Linked DNA regions of Sus scrofa. Each later gene encodes a partner of the first gene's protein in a complex. Links are inferred from orthologs where the notes say so. Each region holds a gene or a part of one and is shown on either strand. Other genes may lie near its edges. The genes, in order: KIF11, RBM10 and MYSM1.

Evidence for each region.
Region 2: KIF11 (region 1) and RBM10 share a complex: the UniProt entries of both Homo sapiens proteins name them as parts of the large chromatin remodeling complex. The link is inferred for Sus scrofa from reciprocal best matches to the Homo sapiens genes KIF11 and RBM10.
Region 3: KIF11 (region 1) and MYSM1 share a complex: the UniProt entries of both Homo sapiens proteins name them as parts of the large chromatin remodeling complex. The link is inferred for Sus scrofa from reciprocal best matches to the Homo sapiens genes KIF11 and MYSM1.

The regions. Positions count from the first base shown.
Region 1 is NC_010456.5:104,125,882-104,135,268, reverse strand, and holds part of KIF11 (kinesin-like protein KIF11), read right to left. Parts: 5' UTR 9,149-9,387; coding exon 9,072-9,148; intron 3,388-9,071; coding exon 3,255-3,387; intron 3,026-3,254; coding exon 2,928-3,025; intron 2,833-2,927; coding exon 2,754-2,832; intron 1,940-2,753; coding exon 1,754-1,939; intron 1,632-1,753; coding exon 1,507-1,631; intron 1-1,506. UniProt on the Homo sapiens protein: Motor protein required for establishing a bipolar spindle and thus contributing to chromosome congression during mitosis. Required in non-mitotic cells for transport of secretory proteins from the Golgi complex to the cell surface.
Region 2 is NC_010461.5:41,769,968-41,779,961, forward strand, and holds the start of RBM10 (RNA-binding protein 10), read left to right. Parts: upstream 1-3,930; 5' UTR 3,931-4,252; coding exon 4,253-4,322; intron 4,323-6,229; coding exon 6,230-6,371; intron 6,372-9,994. Other genes in the region: NDUFB11 (NADH dehydrogenase [ubiquinone] 1 beta subcomplex subunit 11, mitochondrial), read right to left, coding at 1,159-1,482, 3,274-3,480. UniProt on the Homo sapiens protein: Binds to ssRNA containing the consensus sequence 5'-AGGUAA-3'. May be involved in post-transcriptional processing, most probably in mRNA splicing. Binds to RNA homopolymers, with a preference for poly(G) and poly(U) and little for poly(A).
Region 3 is NC_010448.4:153,750,530-153,760,663, forward strand, and holds the start of MYSM1 (histone H2A deubiquitinase MYSM1), read left to right. Parts: upstream 1-5,210; 5' UTR 5,211-5,667; coding exon 5,668-5,732; intron 5,733-9,661; coding exon 9,662-9,737; intron 9,738-10,134. UniProt on the Homo sapiens protein: Metalloprotease with deubiquitinase activity that plays important regulator roles in hematopoietic stem cell function, blood cell production and immune response.

The DNA.
Region 1 (9,387 bases):
TTTAAGAAAAACAGAAATTTCATTCTATGATTGGTTTATAACTCAAGTTTTTTGTGTTTTGTTTGTTTTTAGGGCTGCACCTGCAGCATGTGGAAGTTCCCAGATTAGGGGTCAAATCACAGCTGCAGCCTCTGGCCTACACCACAGCCACAACAACACCAGACTCGAGCTGCATCTGCTACCTATGTCGGAGCTTGCAGCAACACTGGATCCTCAACCCACTGAGCGAGGCAAGGCCAGGGATCAAACCCACATTCTCATGGATACTAGTCAGGTTCATTTCCACCAAGCCACAACGGGAACCCTATAACTTAAGTTTTAAAAATGGAAAGCTAGGAGTTCCTGCTGTGGTGCAGTCTCTGCTGTCTCTGTGCAGTGCAGGTTCAATACCGGGCTCAGTGCAGTGGGTTAAGGATTTGGCATTGCCACAGATGTGGCCTGGATTTGATCCCTGGCCTGGGAACTCCATATGCCATGGGAGCACCTGAAAAAGGAAAATAAAAAGGAAAGCTATTATAGGAAAAATTAATTAAAATTATAAAATAATCTATACCCCTACGATGTTATGTTATTCTTCTTCTTTCTTTAAATGCATACATATTTAGAGTTGTAGTTATACTTGCTATAGCATAGTATAGAAATGTCCAACTGTAAGAGAGCAAAAAAATGAGAACTAGCCCTAAAAGTCCTTCTCTAGCTCAGGGAGAATGATATTCAGGTAAGTTTACCTAAAGTAACATATTTAGTTGACTGCAGATCTGGAACTAATCTCAAATATCTAACTCCTAATCCATAACTCTTTCAATTACATTCTGACATTTCTTCGAAGATGAGTAGAAAAAAAATCACCTCTGACTTGGTAAACTGCATTTGGGGAGTCTGGGATTCATCCTATAAGGGATGCTAACAAATATGCTCCTTTCTCCCCTTGAAAGCCAGTGTTAGTGACCATTTGCCTTCCTACATTAAAATGAAGCCATTTTGGGAAAAAAAAAAAATCACATCATACAACCTAAATATATACAATTTTTGTCATCCATACCTCAATAAAGGTGGGAGGGGGGAATTGTTATTTGATGTTCTTCTAATCCTTGCTCAAACCAGCGATTTGCAAACTGTGTTCTAAGTATCCATAGGGGCTCCAAAAAAGTGCTTAAGGAGAATTTTCCTAAGGCTGAGGAGATAAGCCTCTGAGCTTCCCATTGCCAAATCAACTACAACAGTTGCATTAATCTGGGCTCCCACATACGATTTCATTTGGGTAAAGAAATCTTCTGGTTAAAAAGACTTAATACTCTGCTCAAGTTCAGCTTGTCTTTGTTCTCCTTTCAACATTTTCCCAATATTGGTGCTATCCCTATAAATCTCAAGCCAATTACTAAGGCCTGCAATCTAGCATACAGTCTAGATGTGTGACTCACTGACTTTGACCCAATTTGATTGCCCAAGTTCATAATTCTTCTTAAAGAGGGAGTGGAGTAGTGGGGGAGACAATGGCTTTCTCACCTCGAGTAGGCATTCATCAAAGTTGCTGCAGTTGTCCTTTTTGCTGCTCCCTTCTCCAAAATTTGATAGACCTCATTCTTGTTATGTACCGTAATTTCTTCTAAACCTTTGATTATCACTCCCCTCTGACCAAATATTAAATGGCATTCATTAGATTGGTTATATATGGAGAAAGAGAGAGAGAGACTTTTCAAAGTATAAAACTGTAACATTTAGAGACATTTTATTCTCCCAAGACTGAAGTTACCTTGTTACGGGGATCATCAAACATCTGTAGTCTCTCAGAAACATCAGAAGATGGATTAAGAAGATCAAAAAGCTCTTCATTATAGATTTCCAACAGAGACACTTTGACTGAAAATTCAGTACCATTATCAGTAAGTTTCTCAAAAATTTGATGAAGAGTACGTGGAATTATACCAGCCAAAGGGTCCTAAAATTATAATATTCATAAGCACTTAAATAAAGCATGAATGCCATTTACTGCAACAGTTAAGACATAGATAAAAAGGGCCTCTTTTATAGTATATTTAAACATAAGAATGTCAAAACAAGGAAAAAAAAAAAAACTAACCAAATTTAAGAAGCCAACTTTTATAAATCATTTACAACAGTCTGTTCAATAGTAATTATTCTTCCTCCCACCTTCCACAAATCTGTCATTCTCAGCAGCCACTTCATGCCTGAGCATTACACAGAAACCAACTAAGCCAAGGTACTTATAAAGCCAAGTTCAATAACCCTTGCCAGTTTTTCTCATCAGAAATAATACCATCACTTTAATCGGAAAAGTGGCTCACCTAACAGTATATTCCCTAATTCTGACATAAAACAAATTGTTTCTCAAATTTCTAGGTATACTTTTTTTCTTTTTCTTCTTAGGGTCCAGCCTAGGGGTCGAATCAGAGCTGCAGCTGCCAGCCTACACCACAGCCACAGCAACTGGATCCAACATAAGCTGAATCCTTAACCCACTGATTCCACTCTCCTACAATACTCTGCTCCAATTATTCTGTCCTAAATAGGCCCTTCTCTTATCACTTTAACTGTGCCATATGTATTGGTCCTCTCTCTCCTAATTACCATACCATATTCTTTAATTTTATTACAGTAGCAGTTTATCTTAACTTTGTGTTTTATATGCATACACTGATCTTTTCCATTTCAAGACAGAGGCCTTCAACCAGCTTTTATTCAGTATACTTTAGCCACTTTAGAAACACAAGTCTGTTATAAACAATAAATACCTCCTCCCAAGTATACTCTTCATTAGGGGACCTTTCACCTTCCATTGTAAACGTTTTTCCGGTGCCAGTTTGGCCATATCTGTCAAAATTAACAAAAGTGTTAAACAAACAAACAGAAACCAAATACATGCATCTAAACCTTTTCATCAATTTAGAAAATAATGTTTCACTCACGCAAAAATAGTGCAATTATAGCCCATAATAACTTCATCCAGAATTGGACAAACAACACTTCGGTAAACATCAATTTGTTTAGTAGATGCTCCAAAAACCTATCCAAAAAAGGGGGGGGGGGTTTATTTTTTTAAAAAGATTCAAAATTACTTTAATAATTTTGGTTTTAATATATTAACTTATTTAGCCCACTAGAAACCATTTGACAACTCAAAGAATCAAATGAAATTTGCAACTGCATGCTAGAACCTAGAGAAAATATGTATACTAGGAAATCTTTACATTAGTGAATAACAAAGAAGTAGCAGCATTTTAGGAAGTAAGTACCATATCAAAAGTATATGTTTTCCGTGAGCTCTTGTCAGCCAGTCCTCCAGTTCGTACACTAACTTCTTTCCTTACGTGGTCACATTCTACTACAGAATGGGCATTAGCTTTCCGTTCTGCCAAATTAAATGGTCTATAAAAAGAAACACACAAGGTTATTCAAAATCTGTTAGGTATCAGGTACTGATGACATTTTTATTAATACCTCAGAAAAGAACAATGTGAAGTTTTACTACACCATTGTTGACAGTGATTAAATGGAGCCTAAAGAATACTGCAAAAGCCAAGAGCAGAATCTTAAGGATTTCAATTCCTAGAAGTTTTTTAAAAAAAGTTTTGAAAAGTATGTACAATTATGACAGTTTGTTGGAGTAGATGCTAACAAAATTGATAAAAATAATGACTAAGGGTTCCTGTTGTGGCTCAGTGGTTACGAACCCGACTGGTATCTATGAGGACATGGGTTCAATCCCTGGCCTCCCTCAGTGGGTTAAAGGATCCAGCATTGCCATGAGTTGTGGTATAGATCGAAGATGTGGCTTGGATCTGGTGTTACTGTGGCTGTGGTATAAGCTGGCACCTGCAGCTCCAATTCAACCCCTAGCCTATGAACTTGCATACGCTGTGAGTGTGGCCCTGAAAAGACAAATAATAATAATAATAATGACTGATATATTGAGTACTATGTCAGGTATTCACTGTTCCAAATGCTTTATACACCATGTTAACTCAACTTGTCCTCACAAGTGTGAGGTCTAGTGGGGAACAGTGACATAAAACAAGTGATTCGAAGAGAAGTGATGTTTAGAAAGGGTAAGTAAAAGGTGCTGTAGGAACATAGAGCAAATATTTAATGTGCTCTAGAGAGATCCCATCGTGGCTCAGTGGAAACGAATCTGACTAGCATCCATGAGGATACAGGTTCGATCAATGGCCTCACTCAGGGGGTTAAGGATCAGGTGTTGCCGTGAGCTGTGGTATAGGTTGCAGATGAGGCCTGGATCTGGCGTGGCTCTGGCTGTGGCTGTGGCAGGCAGTTGCAGCTCCCATTCAACCCCTAACTTGGGAACTTCCACATGCCATGGGTACAGCCATAAAAAGATGACCAAAAAAAAAAAAAAAAAAACTCAAAAAATTTAATGTGTTCTTGATTGGGACAGGGAAGGCATGAGTGTTAGGAAAGACTCCGTGAGGAAGAAATCTAAGCTAAAGGCTTCCTTAGGCACTTGAGTATAATGATGACTCTTGATCCAGTCCACTTGGGCAATGTAGTCCTTTAAGCCTGTCTCCTCATTTGAAAATTGAGCTTGGTAATAGTACCAACCTCACAGTGTAAGCAAAGATCCTGTTTAATTTACTGTTTCCCTAGGGTCTATTACCATGCTCAGCACACACTAGACACTCAAATATCTATTAAACTATACTGCTTAATAGATGTCATCTTAAAGAGAATGATGGGAAAGCTAAAAAGAACCATGCATAAGATACTGATGTACTTAACGCACATCTGGGCCAAAGGGAGAGGTATACTCTTTTTTTGTTTGTTTTTAGGGCTGCATCTGCAGCATGTGGAAGTTCCCAGGCTAGGGGTCAGATCAGAGCTGCAAATGCCGGCCTACACCACAGTCATAAGCAATGCCAGACCTGAGCTGCGTCTGTCTCCTACACCACAGCTCATGGAAATGCTGGATCCTTAACCCACTGAGAGAGGCCATGGATCAAACCCATGTCTTCATGGGTACCAGTCGAGTTCTTAACCTACTAAGTAACATGGGAACTCCCAAGAGGTACACTCTTAAGACCTAAGTTCATTTTTCCCATTCATTATCACATATTGTGACAGGAAATGCCAAACAGGAAATTATCTTTGCCCTCATCACTAAATGAACCAAGTTGCTATTTATTTTAAAAAGGATATGTCCTCTGGCATGCATGCCCCCACACTTAGCATATTTTGACTGGTCAGAAGATCAAATTGTGATCTTAAGAAATTTAACTCAGTAACTCCCAGGTAATATCTGGTAATGCTGTCATTTATCAAATGTATGAAAACTTACACAATGCACACAACCCACTGTATGCAGTATTTTAAATGTTCAACCAAATTGAGTCAAAACAAACTTATACTGAGGTAGGCCAAAAGTATCAGATAGAATGAATTGCTCTCATGTGGTTAAAGCTTTTCCAATTGGTCGAATCTCTTGTCTGGTTGTGTGATTAAGGTACCAAATGAATACCATTCAAGTTCTCAGGTCAGAGTAATAGAAATTCACACAAGTCACACATACTAAGTTATTAATACTCCAAGAGGAGCTTTAGGAATTGTTCGTACTGCAATAAAGAATACTGTCGGAGTTCCCATTGTGACGCAGTGGTTAACGAATCCGACTAGGAACCATGAGGTTGCGGGTTCGGTCCCTGCCCTTGCTCAGTGGATTAACGATCCGGTGTTGCCGTGAGCTGTGGTGTAGGCTGCAGACGCAGCTCAGATCCCAAGTTGCTGTGGCTCTGGCGTAGGCCGGTGGCTACAGCTCTGATTCGACCCCTAGCCTGGGAACCTCCATATGCCGTGGGAGCGGCCCAAGAAATAGTAAAAAGACAAAAAAAAAAAAAAAAAAAAGAATACTGCCAAGCCACTATTTTCCACCCAGACTTCTCTAATCAGAAACTTCAAGGTTTCTGCTGATGACACTAACAAACCCATCAATACATTGACTTCATTACAGTTATATTAAAATTCAAACAACCAAGATGGTAAGAAGGGAAATTGAAAATTAAAAGGAGTTCCCGTCGTGGCGCAGTGGTTAATGAATCCGACTAGGAACCATGAGGTTGCGGGTTCAATCCCTGGCCTTGCTCAGTGGGTTAAGGATCCGGCATTGCCATGAGCTGTCATGTAGGTCGCAGACACGGCTTGGATCCTGCATTGCTGTTGCTCTGGTGTAGGCCAGCGGTTATAGCTCCAACTAGACCCCTAGTCTGGGAACCTCCATATGCCGTGGGAAGCAGCCCTAGAAAAAGTCAAAAAGACAAAAAAAAAGAAAAGAAAGAAAATTTAAAAAAAAAGAAAAAATCCTGTCAGTGGAAATCCATTCATTCATTCATCCATAAATATTCATATAATTAGTTACTATACAAGTAAAGAACATCAAAAAGATTGTGTTCATTGTAATCAAGTAATGAGGTCATCTATCTCTCTTGAAATCTTGCTAATCTCTTACACTACAATAAACTGTGCCAATTAAAAGTTTAAAACTGAAAAAAAAAAAATTAGAGAAGAGTATGTGACAGAGACCACATGCAGTCTGCAAAGCCTAAAATATTTACTATCTGTGCCCTTTGCTGAAGGATCTGACAACCCCTGAGGGCCTCATAGTTGTTTATTTACTCAAGCTTAAGGACATACTTGCACTAGGAAGGCTATTTGAAATAGAAAAAGCCATAGACATAGAGAACAGACTTGTGGTTGCCAAAGAGGAAGTGGGAGGGAATGGGATGGACTGGGAGTTGAGGGGTAGTAGATGCAAACTATCACATTTGGAATGGATAGACAATGAGGTCCTACTGCATAGGACAGGGAACTATATTCGATCTCCTGAAATAATAAACTGTAATGGAAATGAATATTAAAAAAAAGGATATAATCTGGACAAAGCCTTCATTCGAAAAGATACATGCATCCTATGTTCACTGCAGCAATATTCACAATAGCCAAGACATGGAAACAACCCAAATGTCCATCAACAGACAACTGGATAAAGAAGATGTGGTACATATATACAATGGAATACTACTTAGCCATAAAAAAGAACAAAATAATGCCATTTGCAGACATGGATTTTCATACTAAGAGATTCCCATAGTAAGTGAAGTAAGTCAGACATGATATCACTTATATGCAGAATCTAAAATATGACACAAAGGATCCTATCTGCAAAATAGAAACAGATCATGGACATGGAGAGCAGACTTGTGTTTACCAGGGGGGAGGGGGAAGAGACAGGGATGAATGAGGAGTTTGGGGCTGGTAGATGCAAACTATTACATTTAGAACGGTTAAGTAATGAGGTCCTACTCTACAGCACAGGGAACTGTGTACAGTCTCTTGGGTTGGAACATAATGGAAGATAGCATGAAAAAAAAAGAATGTGTGTGTGTGTGTGTGTGTGTGTGTGTGTGTGTGTGTGTGTGTGTGTGTGTGTGTGTGGCTGGGTCACTGCTGTATAGCAGAAATTGAAAAAACGTTGTAAATCAACTATGCTTTAATAAAAAAATTTTTTAAAAGAAAAAAATAACTAGGTCACTTGGCTATACAGCAGAAATTAGCACAACACTGTAAATCAACTGCACTTTTCTAATTAGTCTAATCTGAAAAGAAAAGCATTTCTTTATACTGAAATTGTTACAAATATTAGACACATCCCAAGCACTTTTCATTAGCGATAAACTAAAATAAATCTCTTTTAAGTTAAGGCTTGAAATGTATTGGAATAATAAACACGAGTTCAGAATAATGTTTAACTTTTGGGGAGGGATACAATGGGACACCAGCTGTAATGACTGTTTTGTTTCTAATCTGAGTGATGGATACACAAATGTTTGTTACACTGTTCCTTGTAATTTTTTACAGGTCTGACCTATTTGTAACTAGCAATAAAAATGAAATTTAAAAAACTAAAGCCCCACAGAAAAGGTAATACTGCCTGATGTCACTAAACAATAAAAATCATGTGAAAATTTGCATTTGTAACATGGGCTGCTTTTTAAAAAATCTTCAAAACAGGTTAACTATTAGCAGAAGCCCTAGAGTGCAACTAGTAATTGGTTATACTTAAGTTTACCATCAAATTTCCTCTCTGGCATCCAGTTTAAAAAGCTATTACCTTTGATATCAACAATTCAAGTCACCAAAGCTGTGTAGGCAATAACCTAAGAAAGTTTGTTGATACACTTTGAAAATAACCTTTTAATTTTAGAATATGTTTGGATTTCCATGAAAGTTGCTGATGGCAGAGTTTTTGAAACAATAACAACAAAAATAGACACACAAAACACACATACACCAGTAAACTGTAAAGGGCCTCTAAAAAGCTGAATAAATCCAATTAAGCAATTTGTACAAGTATGTTTTTCCTCTCCTAGTTCATTTTAAAATCGGGAAGTGATATGGAAACTAATCGAGGGAGAGTAGAACACCTTCACCCACCCACTGGGAAAAAGCCTTCTCCTTTGGACAAGAGAAGACCAAGTACAGTACAACTTAAGTTGTCTCCTCGATCTTTTAAAAACAAACTCACTCTACGACTTAATTTTAAAACGTTAAATACAGCGCTGTTTGTTTAATAGGGATTAAGGAAATATTTCATTTAGAATAAAGAGAACAGGTGACTGAATATGTTTTTAGAGGTTATGAAGTATGATAATCCCAAGACAAATGTTAAAACATTTGCAAAGTAGGTGTGCAGTCTTATTTCCAAACTGACCAACTGTTAGGAGTGACATATAAAAGTGACGCCTAAATCTCTGTCGACAGTTTGAAAGGAAAAAAAAAAAAAGCTCTTTTCAACAAAGAACAGCAATCAATTCTCCATAGCTGCTTAAACTACAAAGTCAGACACAAATATCCTTTCTTCTGAAAACACTAATTTACTCGCCGCAGCAACCTGGTGTTATTTTACCGAACTGAACGCGGGGAACTATGAAATAGGAAGGTCTGGTTCCTTCAAAAGCTGCAAACAAAATCGCTCTCCTCCAACCGCGCAGGAGGGAGCCCCACAGCAAAGCCCGGAGCTGGGAATCCAGCCAGGCTCGCCCTACCTGCATCTCACCACCACCTGGATATTCTTTCCCTTCTCATCTTTCTTCTTCGTAGAGGAATTCGGCTGAGACGCCATGACTGTCCCCGCCGAAAATCAAGGCCTGGTCTCAGACTCCTGCGCCCAAGGGCGTGGAGTGGCTCTGCAGCGTCGTGGACCTGGGTGATCTCCTTCCCTGCCAGGTGCTGCCCGTAGGCGGGAAAATCGCTCTCCACCAGGGACTCTGGCCGCACTTGTGTCCGGCACTATCCGGAGCCTTCGAACCTCCAACCTAGTCTCCGCCTAAGCCCAGGAAACCAAGCAACGACTCGGCGCCT
Region 2 (9,994 bases), on another chromosome or scaffold:
AAGGGATGATTGGTGTCTTGGGAGCACTGGGATGCAGGTTTGACCCCTGGCCCAGCACAGTGGGTTAAGGATCCGGCGTTGCCGCAGCTATGGCTTAGGTTGCAACCCTGGCCCAGGAACTTCATATGCTGTGGGGTGGCCAAAAAGAAAAAAAAGAGGAGTTCCCATTGTGGCTCAACAGTAATGAACCCAACTAGTATCCATGAGGATGCGGGTTCAATCCCTGGCCTTGCTCAGTGGGTTAAGGATCCGGTGTTGCCGTGAGCTGTGGTGTAGGTTGCAGACGTGGCTCGGATCTGGCATGGCTGTGGCTGTGGCATGAGCCGGCGGCTATAGCTCTGACTGATCCCTAGCCTGGGAAAAGGAAGAAAGGAGGGAGGGAGGAAAGAAGGAAGGAAGCCCAAAGCCAAGAGAAGAAGGCAGGGATGGAGACAAGCACTCATCCTCAGCAAAAGAAGAGCCCTGCTCTCAGCCGCCACCCTCAATCCCTGGCCACCCTGGCCCTTCTTCCAACATAGGAGGTTTCGGTGTGGTAGCTTTATTCTAAAGACGGCTGCCATCAGTTTCTTCCTACGTGCTACACCTCCATTCAAAGGAGCGCTTAACCACCATATACAAAGCCCAGGCTATTCTGCTGGAGGGAGAGGCCACATAGCAGACTGAAGTACCAGACATGGAAGTAAAGAAGCCATCCTGGATGTCCAGCCCAGCTGAGCCTCCAGATGACTCTGGGCCCAGCCACCATCTGACTGCAACCACGCAAGACCCCAAGAAGGACCACCTAGTTGAGCCCAGTCAACCACTGGACCATGAAAGATAATACCAAATTATTGTTTTAAGCCACTAAGTTTTAGGGTGTTTGTCACATGGCAACAGCTAACCTGCATACCTAGAAAAAGCTTTTAAAGCCTGACACCCCCACTCCCACAGCCCCCTCACAACAAAAGCAACACCAGCCAGGCACATTTTCAGTCCCTTTAATTAGGTGCTCTGAGAGAAGGGCAGAATGGCAGACAGGAGATAAAGAAAGAGGTGCTTCTTAAGCCTCTCTCGGCCCCAGGTCAGTCCTCATCCTCCGGCAGCTGGATCTTGTTGGGGTCGAAGCAGTTGGATTCCATGAGGGGGAGGCCGTTGGCCTCTCGGTATTTCACGAGCCTCTCAGCTTCCCGGCGGGCCCACTCCTGCATCCTGGAGGCAGCAGCGTGGGGGTAGACTTGAGGGAGCCTCCATGGACACCAATCCCCATCTTAGCTCCCATTGCTGCACAGGGACAGGATTCCTGACAGTCTCTTTAAAGCTCCACCCCTGCCTCTGCCCCCACCCACCCCACTCTCTTGGACACCCCATGCACCTGTAGTCAGGCAGATAAGCCACAAAGGTGCTGCCAAGGACCAAGACGATGGAGAAGCCAAAGAAGAAGACGACCCGCATGTTCCAGAGGTCCACAATGGGGTCCTTGTCATAACCGTGGGAATCTGGGTTCTGAGGCAAAGAGAAGAAGAGGTCAATGAAGGCTTCCTGCCACTCCACAAAGCAGTATAACCCGATCTCCAATTTCACCTTGGACCAAGCTCCTCCCTCCCTTCCTAAATTCCTCTCTATTCTTAGGATTTGTCAAGCTCCTTCCCACCACAGGGCCTTTGCACTTGCTCTTTCCTCTGCTGGGAAAGCTTTTCCCGCCGACCTAGCTGTGGCTGGATCTGCCTCCTCAATCAAGGTTTTGGCTTCATCATCGCTCCCCTCAGGAGGCATTTCCTAGTCACCTTGTCTATTAAGTTGAGCTAGAGCAAACTGACATTTTTAACAGGTCAAAAATTATTGAATATTGGCAATTTCCTATGGCTCAAACTAATAAAATAACTCCCTACCCCAAGTCACTATCCATTCACTTATCTTGCTTAACAGTCTTTCTAGCATTTACTTGTTTGCCAAAGCAGTATAGCCCCCAAATCCTCTGATCACATTATCTTATATTATTGATTGCATACTTTATATCACTGGGTTTTTTTTCTTTTTTATCTTTTTGCCTTTTCTAGGGCCGCTCCCACGGCATGTGGAGGCTCCCAGGCTAGGGGTCCAATCAGAGCTGTAGCTGCTGGTCTACACCACAGCCACAGCAACTTGGGATCCGAGCCACGTCTTCGACCTACACCACAGCCCACAGCAACACCGGATCCTTAACCCACTGAGTAAGGCCAAGGATCGAACCTGCACCCTCATGGTTCCTAGTCGGATTCGTTAACCACTGAGCCACGACAGGAATTCCTCTATATCACTGTTTTCTAATATTCTATACATTTATTTTCCCTGTTCTCTGCTATCATGTATGCTCTGTGAAAGCAAGGGCTTTATCTAACTCCCATGTGGCTGAATCCCTAGCACCCTGAACTTAGCCTGGCACACAGCAGGCCTTCAATACATATTTACAGAATTAATATATAAATGAATAAGCATCCTACAGAGCCAAGCTCCTCAACCAAAGGTTAGTATTGATGAAGCATCTATCACGTGCCAGGCCTTTTCACAAGCACAAACTGCACAATATCCTGGTAAGGTGGAAAGTGGCAAGAATAATTAACAGCTTCTAATGGTGAGTACTTAATAAGTGCCAATTGCTGTTCTGAGCACTCTGACTCATTTAATTACACGAGGCAGGTGTAATATTTTATTTTTTAGAAAGTGTCCTAATACTTTCCCCATCTTTCAAAGAAACTGAAGCACCAAGGGGTTAAGCTACTCGCCCAAGGTCACATATGTAAGTAACTATCAGGGCCTGTATTCCAACTCAGGCATTCTGATTTCAGTCTCTGCTAACAGGATAGCACAGCAGACCTGATTCTGCCACACATTCAGTTAAGTGAGCTTGGAGGAGTCACTTAACACCTTCATGCTTCAGTTTCCTCATCTGCAGAATGGGTATATTAATAGTACCTACCTCGAAATAGGGCTGTTTTGAGGATTAAATAAGTTAATATTATAAAGTGTTTCGAACACCTGAGCAAGGACCGTATCAGTGTTTAATATTATTGCTGTTATGGTATACTGCTCATTTCAGGTTTGATATCTGTCTGGAAAATAAGGTCAGTCTCGCCTCTGGCCCTGAACCGAAGGTTATCAGGGGACAAAGGAGGAAAAGGAGCTAGAAAGAACTCCCAAATCTTTGAGGATTTTGCCAGCTGCGCAATCCTCAGCCGACTAAGTACGTCCTCTACGGCGCCCCGTCCGCAGGTCCCCGATTGACCCTTGCGGCGTCCCGTTTCCCCTCCCTCTCACCTTCTCATAGAGGTTTTCGTCCTCCGGATCTGGGTCCTCCTGCAAGCGTATAGTCGGTTCCGGCGGCCGCTTTCCCACCAGAGCGGACGGGGCGATCACAGCCCTGGAGGAGCCGGACTCCCAGCGAACACGGGCAGCCGGGAGCCCTCGCGTCGCCGCTGCTGCTAAAAGGCGGCGAGCGCACAAACCTAACACCCCGGCCGCCATGACAGCTCGTTCTGCAGGCTCGCGGGGGCGGGGACGGAAATGTGACTCTGCGCAGCTGCAGTTGGGCCTGAGCGCGAGAATTGTCGCTCCGCCCCCGCCGCACTAAATAGGTCCCGAGTTGGGATTTTGTTTTCAAACGTCCTCTTTCCCTCCCTCTGTCATGGCCTCACGGGAGCAACCAGCTTCCTATCTTCTCGGTCAGGCTGTGGAATTTCTGGCCGAAAAGGCTGCTTATTTTCTTGACGAGAAGAAAACGGTGACACTTGGGTGGATGCAGTCCCCAACCAATCTCGAGGAGAGTTCCCGTGCCCTTTGGCGAGAGGGGCGGAGCTTCCGCTGGTCTTTCATCTTCCTAGGAAGCCGAGCTTCTAAAAAGCGGGCCTCGCCGGATTGGCCAATAGCTACTCTTTTTCTCGACTTGCGGGCGTTCGCACGGGGAGCGGGGTGGTGGCATGCGCTTGCCAATCAGAGCAGGCCAGGGCTGGCCCACGAAGGACGGCGACCAATAGACGGGGCCGGCCAGAGCGCGCTCCCTTAGTAGGTGGATGGTGGTCGAAGCGCCGGCTCCCTTCTCGTCGTCGCCATTTTGTGCTGGTGATCGCGGCCGGCTGGGAGTAGGCGGCAGTGAGTTGCCCGGGGAGGGCAGCGCGCCTGGGCGCTCCTTCCCTCCCCAGTCCTCCGCCCTTCCGCATTCAGCCTCGGACTGGGTCGTTGCGCGGACCGGCTCCGGCTGAGCTGGGAGAGTTGGAGGAGGTGGCGGCGGGCCGAGGTGATGTCCGGGAGCCCTCCCTTGACAGCCCGGGCCGAGAAGGTGAGCGTCGACGCTGGTCGTGGGGGCGGAGGTAAGGGACCGGGGGCGGGGGTGGGGGGGGGAACGCGTAGAGGAGGCGCGAGGGCGAACTGCGGGCGGCAGGTTTGGGTTTTCGTGCAGAACCCCCGATGCTCACACGGTCTGTGCTCGGGAGGGGGTGTCTTTTTTTGTTGTTGTTTTTTGTTTTTCTCCTTTTGAGAGCAGAGGCGCGTGCGCGATTGGGACACAGGATGGGTGCACGCGGGTTGGGGGAAGGGAGGGACGGATGGGAGTGGGTTACTGTGGCTTAGTGTGTCTGCGACGCCGAACTTTATCCGTGGGAGGCGAGTGTCTGCGACTTTGGTTTTTATCTATAGGAAGTGTGCTGTCTGCTCTCCTGTGTGACTTTGGTACTTACCTATCCACGGGGAAGTGTTTGGTGGCTCTGGTCCTTATTCTTGAGTGGGGGAGGAGGGAGAACGTATGACTGGGGTCTCTATCCTCGGATCGTGTGTCCGTAACCCTGGTCCTTATCCATGGGGAGGGGTCCTTATCCCAGAAAGTCTTCTTACAACTGGCCCTAATCCACTTACTGGGTGGGAGGAAGTGCAAGGAACGTGTGTAAGACTTAGTGTCCCTTCTTTGCGGGGGTGGGGGGTGGGGGAAGAGGGTGTTTCGTATCTGTTACTCTGACGCTCATCCTGTGAAAGGGGGCCTCAGTGGATGATTATGGCTTGTATTTACCCTGGATTCCTGTCTGTGATTTTGGCCCCTAGTTATTCGGGGCTTGACTCTGTTGAGTTTGTTCCCTATCTGTTGTGGATACCAGTGTATAACCCTGGCTCCTTTGCCAGATCTAAAGGGTTTTGTGTCCGGCTCTCATCCACTGGAGCCCCTGGTCGTGATTCTAACTCTTAGCCATCCGGGAGCGGGTAGCGCTGGTTCTCTGTGGCTTGAGGAGGAAGAGAAAATCGGTGTGAGTGTATCCGCGGAGGAAAGGTGTAGTGGCAACCTAGTTTGGGGCAGGTGCTGTTACCACCTGGCTTTGCCTGAGTCTTGTTCAGAGGGTGGGGCCTAAAGATTCCGGGATACTTTGTGGTGACCCCTGGCCTGGTCTCAAGGCTCTCAGGCCTTCCTTAGTTCTCACCGGAGCCTGAGGGTTGGGTAAAGTGACTGCCCATACGTCCCGGAGGAATAACACATCGGTTCAGAACAGGCTCCGAAAGGACTCGTTTTGCTTCTGAACAACTCGGGTCCAGAGCTCTGGGGAGGGAGCCCCCTTGGGGGACCTGGCTGTGCATAAGAGACAGGGCTCAGGGCTGAGCCAGTTGCGGTGCGGAGCCAAAACTGTGTTGGCCAGGAGCCTAGGGAGGCGGCAGCTGTGTCATTGCCAAGTTAGCCCCGTCACCCCCTGAGCCTTTCGTGGTCTCCTGCCGTGTCAGAGTGGGCAGCCAGCGTCTTTGGGGGAGGATGAAATATTCCCTGGAGGCTCGCGGATGGTAGCCTGGTGGGTGCCTGGGACCCCTGTTGTGGTGTCTTGCCCCGATGTCTAATGTGCCTGATCTGAGACAAGTCACCCAGCACTGAGAGCCCACTCTCCCCTGCTGCCCGCCCGGGCAGATAGCTCTGGGCTTGAACTTGTCTACCAGTCTCCAATGGCAGAGCCCTGATCACAGACAGCATGGGTGGCGCCACTGGGTCTCTCTGCGAGATGCTCCCCCTCTGCTGAAGGCTATGCTGTGTCTAGGGTGGCGGGCTCTAGCTTCACGTTTGTGGGGAAAGAAAGGAAGGAGCAAGCCAAACAGGGACTGCCTTCCTGCTCTGGTCCCCAGGAGTATTTCGAGTTGGGAAACAACATCGCTGGGCTCAGGGACAGCAGAGAGCCTTGAAAAGGTTTTTTCAAGGAACCCGTCTCTGCCTCAACTGCCTTGACCCCTTTCTTCCTTCTCCTCTCCCTAGAGTCCCTGCAGGAGGCATCGCCCAGGCTGGCAGATCATGGTGGCAGCAGCGGGGGTGGCTGGGAAGTGAAACGGAGCCAGCGGCTGAGGAGGGGCCCCAGCAGCCCCCGCAGGCCGTATCAGGACATGGAGTATGAAAGACGGTGAGTTACCCACTCCTACCCCTTCCAAGCAGCCTAGGCTTGTCCTTGTGTGCGAACTGACCCAGGAAAGCGCTGGGAGGGGGCTTCCGGGCAGGGGGAAGGAAAAAAAAAAACAGCACAGCAGATGATTGGTTTCTTTTCAGCAGATGTTTATTTGGCACTTGTGAGCCAGAACTTGCGCTAGGCTCTGAGAGTGCATTGGTGAATGAGATAGATAAGATTGCAGCCTTTGGAGTTCCTGTTGTGGCTCAGCAGGTTAAGAACCCAACATAGTGTCCATGAGGATGTGGGTTGAATCCCTGGCCTCTCTCAGTGGGTTAAGGATCCAGCGTTGCCAAGCTGCAGTGTAGGTCGCAGATGTGGCTCAGATCTGGGGTGGCTGTGGTGTAGGCCAGCAGCTATAGCTCCCTAGCCTGGGAACCTCCATATGCTGCAGATGTGTGGCCATAAAAACAACAAAAATAGGATTGCAGCCTTCTCCTTACTTAGGGTCTCACAGGGGATATTACACAGTTACAGATGATTACAAAACAGCTTGATTGGTGTCGTGTTTGGTTACAGGGTGGGAAGGGATCAAGAGAAAGGGAGGAATGGAGGCTGATGCCCAGGTTTCCAGTCTGGTTGACCCAGATAGGTATATGGTGCCATCCACTAAGATGTGGACAGCCCCTGCAGGAAGAGAGGCGTAGGTGGGTGGCAGGTGGGTGGTGGGTTGTAAGTGCCTGTGGATTCTCAGGGGAAAGGTGTGGGCTGTAGCTTTGGGTTTGAGGGATGGATGGGAGTGGTGCCTTCAGAATCAGGAATTGCCCAGGTCAAGTATGGGGCAAGCCAGGTCAGCAGGTAGAACTCAGCACTGCATTTTTAAGATCTGGGATTCAGGGACAGGGTGGGTTGAAGTTGGTGTGATATTTATCTTGGAATGGGACACTCTCGGATAGTTATTTTTAAACTCTGGTATGAACAAGAAACAGTTGGGACACTTGGTAAAATACAGAGATCCCTTTTAATGTCTTACAGAGGGTTTCTTCTACCTTTTAAAAACTGTAGAATTATAGTATCTCATTTTCTGAAAACTGAGCCCAAATTCTAGATGTGGTCATCATCAGTCTTTGTTTCAGAATATCTTTTGAAAGGCATTCAATTTTGGGTGGTATTCACTGGAAGCGCTCTGTGGCAATTTCTTAGTTTGTGTAGGTAACATACTTGCTTCAGACTTTATTACCAAATAAAACCACTGACTTTCTTTTGGCTTTTAAAGGACCCCAAGTGCAAAGGTTTGAGTTAATCATAGTTTTTCACCTCAAGGTAGGCTTCTATCATAGGTTGGTACAAGACCTTATATTTATTTTTTCCTTTTTATTTGCAATTCCCATAGCTGTAGGCAGCTGCTCTGTTGTGTTTGAAATGTACCTTCCAAAATATGTAGTGTTGTTTTCAGTGTCTGTGTTTTCAATTTACACAAATGGTAGAGTGCTACAGTCTTCATTCTGTTTCCTGAACTTTGTACTACTCAGCACTGCGTTTTTAAGATCTGTCTGTATGTATGTTAGTTGCCATATGTATGTTAGTTTTTTGCTTCTAATTGGTCCCAGGGACACCCTGAGGTGTGCCTACTGCCTTTTATTTAGCCATTCCCCAAGGCTCTATACCTGTTCTTAATTTTGGTGTGCTGAAAATCATCACTTTCTTTTCTTTTTTTCTTTTGCTTTTTTTAGGGCTGCACTTGAGGCATATGGAGGTTCCCAGGCTAGGGGTCTAATCAGAGCTACAGCTGCTGGCCACAGCCACAGCCATGCAGGATCCAAACCTCGTCTGCCACCTACACCACAACTCACGGCCACGCTAGATCCTTAACCCACTGAGTGAGGCAGGGATCGAACTCGCAACCTCACGGTTCCTAGTTGGATTCATTTCTGCTGTGCCATGATGGGAGCTCCTGAAAATGATCACTTTTTCATCTTACAGTCTATCCTTTCAGAATCTTCTCTGTTCCTACCTCTGGATCACACAAAGGTTATTCTCTGTAGTTCTGCCTTTTGCACTCAGGTCTTTAAATCCATCTAGAGTCCACTTTTGAATATGGTATAAGGTAGGTTCTGGTTTTATTTTCCTCCAAATGGTGAGCAGTTTTCCCAGTATCACCCCTGAAATAGTCCGTTCTTTCTTTATTAATTTGCAGTACCTCTCATTTCAAGTTCCTTCATGTACATGGATCTGTCTTGAATGATCTGATTCATTTCAGTGATCTGTTCTTCAGAGTTGATCTAGCCATTTGCAGAGCCTTATGTAAAAAGCTTATCAAGTCCTTCAGAAAATTCAAGAATTTTGATTGAGATTGTATTGAATTTTATTAATTTGAGGAGAATTGTCATCTTTGTAAGCAGTCATCCAAGAGCTGTATGGTAAATATTTTGGAGTTCATTTAAAGGCCGTAAATCTGAATAAACTAAAAATACAAGTCTTGGGTGTTCTTTTTTAATTGATGTGTAGACGATGTACAATACTTTTTAAGTTTCAAGGGTACAGCATAGTGATAATTTTTTAAAGATTATTTATAGTTATTATAAAATACTGGCTATGAACTCTACTGTACACCACAGCCTTGTATCTTACTTGTGTTATATATAGTAATTTGTACCTCTTAATGCCCTACCTCTATCTCGCCCTCCCCTTTCCTCTTCCCCCTGGTAACCACTAGTTCTCTTTATCTGGGATTCTGTTTCTTTTTTGTTACATTGACTAGTTTGTTAATTTTTAGATTCCATGTAGGCGATATCAGAATTTTCTTTCTCTGACTTATTTCACTTAGCATAATACCCTCCAAGTCCATCCATGTTGTTGCAAATGGCAAAATTTCATTCTTTTAATGGCTGAGCAGTATTCCTGTGTGCGTGTGTGTCTGTATGTATATATACACACGTGCACATACATATATACTGTATCTTCTTTATCCATTCATCTGTTGTTGGACACTTAGGTTGCTTCCAACCTAAATAATGTAAATAATGCTGCTGTGGGGGTGCATGTACCTTTTCTTTTCTTTTTTTTTTTTTTTTTTTTTTTTGTCTTTTTGCTATTTCTTGGGCCGCTCCCGTGGCATATGGAAGCTCCCAGGCTAGGGGTCAAATCGGAGCTGTAGCCACCAGCCTATGCCAGAGCCACAGCAACGCGGGATCCGAGCCGCGTCTGCAACCTACACCACAGCTCACGGCAACGCCGGATCGTTAACCCACTGAGCAAGGGCAGGGACCGAACCCGCAACCTCATGGTTCCTAGTTGAATTCGTTAACCACTGCGCCACGACGGGAACTCCCCTCCCTCCCTTTTTTTTTTTTTTGCATGTACCTTTTCAAATTAGCGTTTTTGTTTTTTTCAGATAGATACTCAGGAGTGGAATTGCTGGGTCATGTGGTAGTTCTAGTTTTAGTTTTTGAGGAGCCTCCAGACTGTTTTCCGTAGTGGCTGCACCAACTTATATTCCCACCCACAGTACACCGAGGATTCCCTTCTTCTCCACATCCTCACCAGCATTTGTGATTTGTAGACTTTGTGATGATAGCTGTTTTGATGATTGTGAAGTGATATGCCATCGTTTTGCTTTTCATTTCTCTTACTAGTTAACA
Region 3 (10,134 bases), on another chromosome or scaffold:
CTATAGGATTGCAGAGGAGTGGCTATTTGTTTGTGGATGGTCAGGAAAGTGTTAAGTGTTTATTGTTTATTGTTTGTTTGTTTGTTTTGTCTTTTTCTAGGGCTGCTCCCATGGCACATGGAGGTTCCCAGGCTAGGGGTCCAATTGGAGCTGTAGCTGCCGGCCTATGCCAGAGCTACAGCAACTCAGGATCTGAGCCATATCTGCCACCTACACCACAGCTCAAGGCAACGCCAGATCCTTAACCCACTGAGCGAGGCCATGGATTGAACCCACAACTTCACGGTTCCTAGTCAGATTCATTAACCACTGAGCCACAGTGGGAACTTCAGGAAAGTGTTAAGTGTTTAGTGTTAACACTAAAGTTGATTTTTCGTGTAGAAACAGAATTATAGAGATGATGAAGAGAAGGATGTTGGAGTGTATTTTGCGCACATGGATTTTATCACATGTGAGTTATAGGAATGAGAGTCAGCACAGGTTTACATTTGATCTTAAACAGTCCTTTAGAATCAGTACACGATGAACTATTTCGCTCAACTTATTTATCTTCTGCCTCCCCTCATTTCCTTCAAAGGTATAGACTATATTAATATATATGAGGAAGGCAATAGAGCTTCCTCAGTAATGGAAAGGAATGTTGAGGATCTATTTAGGTTTATACTTTTCCCCTTCTCTATTGTATTGTGTGTTTTTGGCCAAGATCGTAATTCAACTGCTGTATCTATTTCTCATTTAAAATATCCACTGATTATGTCCTTATAAAGTCAGTTCTTTGTTTTCAATAAAAACAAAACTCTGGCCTTATTAGTCTTTCCAATTGATTCAACCATCCATTCAATAATGGATTTATAACACAATGTCTGTGTTATAAAAACAATAACAACAACCAAAAAAACTGAAGAATTACATGTTGTATAAGAGAATTATTTAGGGCAACTGTCACAAACTGCAGGTCAGATGTAGTCTACATAAGAGTTTGTTTTGGGAGTTCCCGTCGTGGCGCAGTGGTTAACGAATCCGACTAGGAACCATGAGGTTGCGGGTTCGGTCCCTGTGCTTGCTCAGTGGGTTAACGATCCGGCGTTGCCATGAGCTGTGGTGTAGGTTGCAGACGCGGCTCGGATCCCGAGTTGCTGTGGCTCTGGTGTAGGCCGGTGGCTACAGCTCCGATTAGACCCCTAGCCTGGGAACCTCCATATGCCGCGGGAGTGGCCCAAGAAATAGCAAAAAGACAAAAAAAAAAAAGAGTTTGTTTTGTTCAGTAGTGGTTTTATTTTTAATTTAAATTGTTTTTCACAAATTAATCTTGATTTCTGGCTGGGCTTAAAAGAAAAATCAGATCTGGCAACTCTGAGCCAGAGTTTCAAATAGCACCAGAAAACCAGAGCTGTGTCAGGACCCACCCTTTCAAAAGGAGGGAAGAAGAAATAAAGGGAGGAAGAAAGAAAGAAGAGAAGGACAGACAGAGATGGGGAGGGAGACAGAGTGCTGCTGAGAATGTGGAAGCAGAAGTATGGATTTGTGGCAGAGGGGATAATTTTTCTGTGGCCCATACTTGACTAACCAGCCAATCAAATGTATGCCCAGGCAAACTCCAAAAGTCCCATACCCCTGTTTTGCCCATAACAATGTTCAATAATTGTGTGTGAGATGAATAAGAACAGGAACAAAGAATTTTACCCCAGAAGAGATTATTTCATGGGTGATTTTACGAATGAAGAAGTAGGAGTCTGGAGAGGGCAAGTAATTTGCCTGAAGCAATTCTAACAGAAGCCTGTAGTGGTTTTCAGATTGTACGTAAGGCTCGAGGTAACATAACAGAGAGGAAATGCAACATGGAACAGCATAGTGGGCATCTGCTGTTTTACCAACACAGCAGCCATTCCTCTTATTTTTGGGGGGAGCCACCATTCCTCCTAATCCCGTGTGGTCCACCTGGTTTCTGAGATAGTATAAGACTTAAGCATGGCCCACCACACTCATCTTCCTAGAACAATTTAGAAAGAGACATAAGCCTTCCACTGGGGGCTACTGAAGAAGAAAAGATGCAATTCTGAATGATACTATTAGTACCCAACCTAAGATGGCATGATGTGACAAAAAGATGATAAGCTACATTTCTTTGAGTAAATTGCTTGACTATTCTGAACCTCAGCTACCACATCTGTAAATAGAAGTAACAATTCCTTACCTCAAAGGGCTGTAAAGAAATAATGTATGTAAAATGCCTGGCACACAGTAGGAACTCATTAATGCTGGCATTTTTCATTCCCTTCCAAATAATGTCAGATGGATGCAACATTACTGTAATTAAAATGTAAGAAGTGCATTGGCAGACTTTCCTTACAACATACTGAGAACAGTTTTTTCAGTAGCACCTTATGTGATTTCAGGGAATTGTGGAGGGAAAATAAAATAAAATGCAGTTTGCTTTCCTGGAACAATTCAAGCCACATCCAATGCTTGCCAAGTGTAGCCTTTAATTCTATGTCTGCATTCATCTATTATCTCACCTCTATTTAGATAAAGTGGTTTTCCTCCCCACTCACTGGCCTTTTTGCTTTTCAAATGGGAACTCTTTTCAATCCCTGGCAATCATTTAGCTGACAATTTGGATCATAATATAATAACAACATTAGTGAGCAGTTGTATGACACTTCCCACTTTTAAAGCACTTTACAAATCTGGGCTAATTAGCATGACTACTAACATGCCAGCTTTTTATGGATTAATATTGCCACCATACTTTGCTTTTTCAATAAAAATGCAGTGATCTTTTTTTTCACCAGAAATGGGAGAAAATGAAATGAATAAGCTATCAAGCTATCTCTCCAATAAATTCAAACACAATGTAGCAGAGATATGAGACAGACACTTGATTGATTGTTCCTCCAAAAACTCAGGAAAATTTACAGATATGGCAACTCCTGCTAATTCTGTTTTAGGATCAACAAAGGAAATAGAGTGTATTAATGAGGCACAGAAAGTTTGTAAACCCAAGACAAGTTTCCAGGCTTCAGAATACACTTTCCATTCATTTCTAGCCCTAAGCACCTCAAAGACATCAGAAATACCTGATTGTGATTTATTCTTAAACCAAGTGAGAAAATATCATAGTAACACAAAATACCCTATTCTTTCTGTGGTAAATGAAAATGTAACAGAGTAAGGGTAGAGTGGGAAAGACTTGTGTTGGAAACCCAGCTCTGGTACTCAACTATGTAACTATCTGAAACTTAGTTTCCTCATCTCTAAAATGAAAGTGACTATATTTATTTTATTTTATTTTATTTTAGGCCACACCTGCAGCATATGGAAGTTCCCAGGCTAGGGGTCGAAATCGGAGCTACAGCAGCTTGCCTATGCCACAGCCATAACAACACAGGATCCAAGCAGCGTCTGCAATCTACACCATAGCTCACAGCAACAACGGATCTTTAACCCACCAAGTAGGGCCAGGGATCGAACCTGCATCCTCATGGAGACTAGTCAGATTCGTTTCCTCCGTGCCACAATGGGAACTCCTATATATTTTTAATTTTTAAATTTTTTTTGTCTTTTTGCCTCTTATAGGGCCGCTCCCGCAGCATATGGAGATTCCCAGGCTAGGGGTCTAATCGGAGCTGTAGAGCACACAGCAACGCGGGATCCATTGCTCACGGCAATACTGGGTCCTTAACCCACTGAGCAAGGCCAGGGATCAAACCAGAACCTCATGGTTCCTAGTCAGATTTGTTAACCACTGAGCCACGATGGGAATTCCTCCTATATATTTTTAAATAAATAGTTAAATTTAAACAGTAGACCAGGCTTCGGGAGTGTATTCAACTGTGGGGTTATAGCCACTTCCTTGCAGGTAGGGTTGAGCTATACCCTTAAGGAGCCTCGTTCACATAAAGCCAGCAAACCAGGTGCATAGGCGCATGTGTGGGGAGGATTCATATTAGTCTCCCTGTTTAGGGAGGCCTTTATGCCTAAAGGCCTTGGGGCATATTGGAATTCTGTGCAGGACTTTCCTTCCTTCCATATATATTTTAATGCCTATTGATGCCTAATACTGGGCCAGAAAGACTTCAGTTCTGTATTATAGGAGACACTGTTCATATGGTATTTTGTGTCTAGGAGACATTTGATACCCTGTGTGTCCAGGTAGTACTACAAGGGTTCCTATCCCACTTGTTTTGTAAAGATCAATGAAAGGCATCTATATTCTACAGCTCTGACCATCTGGCCATGTCCATCTTTCTAACCTTGCTATTAATTACATCTAACAAATATCTTAGAAAGCCTACTCTGTGCCAAGCATGCCAATTACCACTGAGACTGGTCACAGGATAGGCCCTTTAGCAACAGGATAACTTAAGGATGGAGCACTATTCAGTTTCTGAGCACTGGATCTCTCTCTTTACAAAACTTTCTCTCCATCTTTGGCCACACAGTTGTATTACAGCTCCTCTTATGGCTTGAGTGCAAGGGTGCATTGGGGCCAACTCAGAATATTGTGGGAAGTGAATTCATTCCATTAATTGATTGATTCACTCATCAGTTCAATATTTATTGAGCACCAACTGTGTCAGACATCATGTTGAATGTTGATACCTTAAGGACTAGTCCAAAGACTAGCAGATACAGCCTTTGTCCTTAATGAATTCATAGTCAGATGGTGGAGGCAGAAAAATGAATTAACAGCTACAATAATGTGAATGATAGATGCTAAGGTAGAAGAATACATAAGGGTAATATTTAATTTCTTAAAAAGCCTTAAGTTCTTTGAGAGAAATGGTGTTTGTCTCTCACAGTTCCTAACAACACAATTTGTACAGGTAAACACTCAGTAAAGTGTCAAAAGGTCTGGATTTTGGTCCCAGTTCTGTCTTTGACTAGCTGTCCATCCTTCTCATTAGTCATCTCAACTTTCTGAGCTTCAGTTTATCTGCAAAGGGTGACTGATGTTATTGGTCCTGCTTATCTCACTGGGTTTTGGCGTTTTCTTTGTTTCTGTTTTTTTGGCCACACCCAGCGGCATGCGTAAATTCCTGCGCTATGGTCAAACTCTTGCCACAAGCTTCTGCAGCGACAACGCCGGGCCCTTAACCTGCTGTACCATAAGGAAACTCCCTCACCAGGTTATTGTGAAGATCAACGGTGATGAGTGATTTTTTAATTAACTGTAAAGATATCTACGAAATAAAATACACAATCCTAAGTTATATTCTAAACTCTTTCCTGAATATTAAAACAGATGTTCAGCATTTTTATAAGTGCTGAATGATTCTATTCTAAAAAATAAAAACCAGCAGATAAGGGTCGCTGTTGCCACTTTCACATTCAAAGTCCGTCTGGCTTGATCTTTTCAGCACTCCAGGTATTTAGTATAAACCCCATTTTACAAATTAGAGAAGCGAGGCGCCAAAGAATTTATCCAAGACCACAACGTCTTCAAAATCCAAGCCTGGGCCACTTGCCAAGGTCTTTACACGTCAACAAAAGTCAGAAGAATCCAGACCCAGGACGCTAATATCTTTTCCCCGAAAGCCCCGCTTCTTGAGCCTGGGAGGGGCCGGTCGACGCCTCAACTCCGCCCCGTGACGCACGCAGCCCCGCCTTCACGCCCTCCACCTCTCGCGGGATCTCTCGAGAGCACGGCTGGGGTCAGGTCCCATCATGGCGGCAGAAGAGGCGGATGTGGATGTCGAAGGGGACGTCATGCCAGCGGCGGCACAGTCTGGGTGAGACATAGAGACCGGGTTTTGCAGAGACGAGGAGGGGCGCGGATGTGAGAAGGGTACCCTAGAAAGGCTGGGGTTCCGGAAGGGTCCAGGGGAGCGAAAGACCATCCGCTGGGGCCGGGGTCTCCCAGAGGCCTGGGCGGCGCCGCGCCCATCCCGCCGCCCGGCTCTTCCAAAGCGCAGCCGGCGAGTACCTGAGACTTGGGGCGGACAGCGTTTTCTCCTTTTGCTTGGATGCTGTGAGGGCGCCGGTCGCCCCTAGCACATTGCGGGCTCTTAAGCAATTACTTCTTCCGTTAGTGTCACCCTAGAATCCGCCCCCTTGCCACCGCCCAATAATCATGAGAACAAGGGCTGTCCCTAGATGGGACCTGAGCGTAGGGATTCTGGTACCATCGCCTGCAAGCCCTGTGACCTTGGGTGTGTCGTTTTATCCCTACTCCCTATCGATTTTCTCTTCCACATAAGGATAGTTGTGAAAAACTTCCAGAGAGGTATCGTGACTTAAAGGAAAGGGCAGGACGTAGAGTTAGACAGCTTTGGGTTCTCTTGTAATGGCTGGTCCTGCGAGATACTAGTAGTGTGACCTTGGGCCAGACTTTTAATTTGTCTGAGCCTCAGACAGTTCGTGAGTAGGCTGACGATCATGTTAGGTACCTCGTATGATTATTGTGAAGAAAAAATGAAGTGATTATGGGATAGGTGCTCTGTAGATGTGTTCTTTACCGGCCCGTTATCCCTAGGGGTGGTATTGTGAGGACTGCGGCGGGGGGGTGTCACAATTTATTTAGTATCTCTACCTGCAGAGCAGGCCAGTGGGGTTTTAAACAATAACCTTCAGCTTGAGACATCTAGCCCTTTGACTCCTTGCTTGCAGGGAATGAAAGCAACCATTTTTAAAATATGCTTTCAGAATCTCCTTTTAGTAATGGAAAAGGCCCAGATGGGTCAGGAATTCTAAGACCTCAGTTCTAAACTCAGCTATGTTGCTTGTACCTATAAAGAACGTTCGAAGTCTCTAGAACCATGTGGATTTGCCAATCTTAGACGGTTTTGACCTATTAAAAAGCAATTTCACGTGGTCGAACCTAGTGATAGGGCCTCTGTAAATTTTGAAGTGTACTGGCCCTGCCCATGAGGAACTAAGATAGTGGGTTTAAAGTTCTTCTGAACCCTAAAGCACTGTGAAAATGAGTAACCAACTTCATGTAGTCATTCTCCCTCAAATCTTTAGGCAAAATAGTCCAAAGCTATACAAATGGATAGGAAGGGTTTACTAACAATCATTGTTCACATTTGTGTAGACCTCGTTAATCTTGCACAAGTGCTTTTGCATGTGTGATTTAATTTGCTTTTCACAAGTCTGTGAAATAAGTGGGAGGGATTCTTATCTGCAGCCCAGAGAGAAATGAATTGGCCTTGGAAACACCAAAGATCAGCTGAGAGCATTGGCTCTATCTATCCGTTTTCCATAGGTTCTTTATTTTTCTGATTGTATTTTATTTTTATCCCTTTTTCTCTCTCTCTTTTTTTTTTTATTATTTTGCTTGAGCCTCAGTTTTATTGGTGGCACCTGTGATCATCTTAGTCTCATGTAACCAGTAATAGGGTTATTGGTTCCTGATGGTTAGAGCCATTGCCTTACAGAACTTCAGGGAGCATCAGTAACATATCCTGGTGAAAATTGCTCCCTGGTGTTAGGGCTCCAATCACATAGAATTTCTTGTGAATAAACACTTGAATTGTGTAGTTACAGCTGATAGCATTTGTGGAAGCCTTGAGGATTAATTAAAAACATGTTTAGGTCTCGCTAAGTGCTAGTTACCAAAGTTAGAAGATGGCGTTGCAATGGTTTGATTTCCTTTCTACCTATCCTGCCTCTCTTTCTCATTCTTGTTTTCTTCTGCTTGTTCTTTAAATCTTAATGTTTTGAAATTCCCTCTGTGGCATAGTGGGTTAAGGATCTGGTGATGCTGCAGCTGTGGCTCAAATTTGACCCCTGGCCTGGGAACTTCCATATGCCACAAATGCAGGGAAACACACACAAACAAAAAAACCTTTAATGTTCCAAGGGATTTTTGTCATAAGACTTTTCACTAACCACACAGTCTGTCTCTCAGGATTTAAATTTATTTGTTAGGTTGGACAGTATGAAATTTTGCCAATGTCCCACCATTTTTGACCTACAAAAATGATGTTTCCCAAATTTGTCACCAACTCAAATCTCTCTCCTGAGTTTCAGGTCCATTTATACAATTTTCTGAATCTCTCTGCCCTTGGGTGTTCTGCAGTCTCAGCTTATAAACTTTCTTCATCCAACCTGCCTCTCCAAGTTCTCTAAGTTCAGTCCACCCAGTCACACAAGGCATAGACGTAGACTTTATTCCTTTTCCTTACTTCTCGCATTCTATTCAGTCATTTATTAAGAGTTTATCGATTTTGAATATCCTCTCATATGTGTTCATTCTTCCTATTCACACTGCTTGTTCTTCAAATCTAAGTTATCATTGCCTCTCTCAAGTATTTATATAATCACTCTTAACTGTTCCTTGTCTCCTTGGCCCCCTTTTATTCTTTCCTGAAGTTAGAGCAGTCTTTTCTTAACATGCAGATCTGATCATGTTATTCCCCTTAATCCTCAACTGGGGAAGGAGTTCCCGTTGTGGTTCAGCGGAAACGAATCTGACTAGCATCTGTGAGGACGCAGGTTCGATCCTTGGCCTCACTTAGTGGGTTAAGGATCTGGTGTTGCTGTGAGCTGTGGTGCAGGTTACAGATGTAGCTCGGATCTGGCGTTGTGGCTGTGGTGTAGGCCAGTGACTGCAACTCTGATTCGACCCCTAGCCTGGGAACTTTCATCTGCCGAAGGTGTGGCCCTAAAAAGACAAAAAAAAAAAAAAAAAAAGAATCCTCAATTGGCTTTATGATAAGAAATCTTTATCCCTTAAGTCCTAGAAACCTGTGTTTCTGCTCTACCTACTTTGTTCATTTAATCATTCAATGAATATCCGTTATTTTCTATATGCCAAGTCCCGGCATATAGAGTCCTTGTTCTCATACAACTAACATTCTTATTGGATGAGACAGACAGTACACCTTATGTGTGTCCCAGAGGGAGATAAACTTGTAGAGAAGTTTTTGCAGTCTTAAGAGCTACAAAATTCTTATCACTAGACTACGTCTGAGAAAGGTCAGTAGCTAAGAAACTTTATAACTTCAAAGTATACAGAAGCAAGTATTAACTTTAATTATAACATAGATTGGACTGTCCCAAACTTAACCATTCAGCCTTTTTTCATATGAAGTGAACACTGTGACTTTAGAGACTTTTTATTAGTGAAAGAAGTGGAAATTAAGTTTAATCACCAGTGGATGTAGAAGAGCCCCCAAATAACCCAAGCTAACTTTTTTTTAATTGTTATTAAAACATCACATTTCTTATCTCTGCATTGTACTGTCCTCCTTTGAGTATTTTCTTTTTGGTTCTTCCATCTGTTCTTATTTTTCTTTTGAGGAAGGTGCTGTTGATGGGTAGCTTTTATGCTTTAGATATAACCAAAACAATTAATTGTAAAATTGAATTCCTATATCCACATTCATATCCATCAAAGAAAATCAGAAGAGTTGGTTCATAGCCACAGGACATATTGTGGTTGTGGCTTTGGGGTATTTTTTTTCCTCAGGAAGTTGTTTATTCTTAGGAAACAAAAGAAGTGAACAGACTTGATCAAAATAGCGTGGCTTAAAGCCACTTATATATTTCATAGGCCAGACATAGAGTAGACATCTGCAATGTTAAATCTCTTAAGGGGAGAAAGGAACTAAATTATTTGCTTAAGATCTGAAGCCTACCAGTCATTGTACTGTGTAAATCACATTCATTAACTGGTATAATCTCACTCTTATACCCATTTTCTTTATTATTACAGAAGTGATGAAAATACAGCATCTGTTTTACAAGACCACTATCTTGATTCATCGTGGAGAACTGAGAATGGTCTTATTGTAAGTATTTTGTGAAATTATCAAGTCCAGTGCCTAGAGAACTTTTTTTTTTAAACTTGGTTCTAGTTCTCAGCACAGAAGTAATACATTGAAGTATTTTTTCATTAAAAATAGAATGAACTTACTTCTACCTCTTTTGACTTTGAAAAATGGTCTTTTGGAAACAACTTTGGAGCCAGCTAGATTTAAGTACACATCGGTGCTCTCCCACTTATCAGATTTGTGAACCTCAGTTGGTTCATCTTAAAAAAAATGGGATCATTGCATGGTTCATTTCTTCATTTAGCAGTTATTTATTAAGTACTTACTATGTGCCAGACATAATAGGCCAAATTTGGGGGATACAGCTCATCAAGACAGACATGATCCTGTTCTCAAGGTGCTTATATTCTAAAGA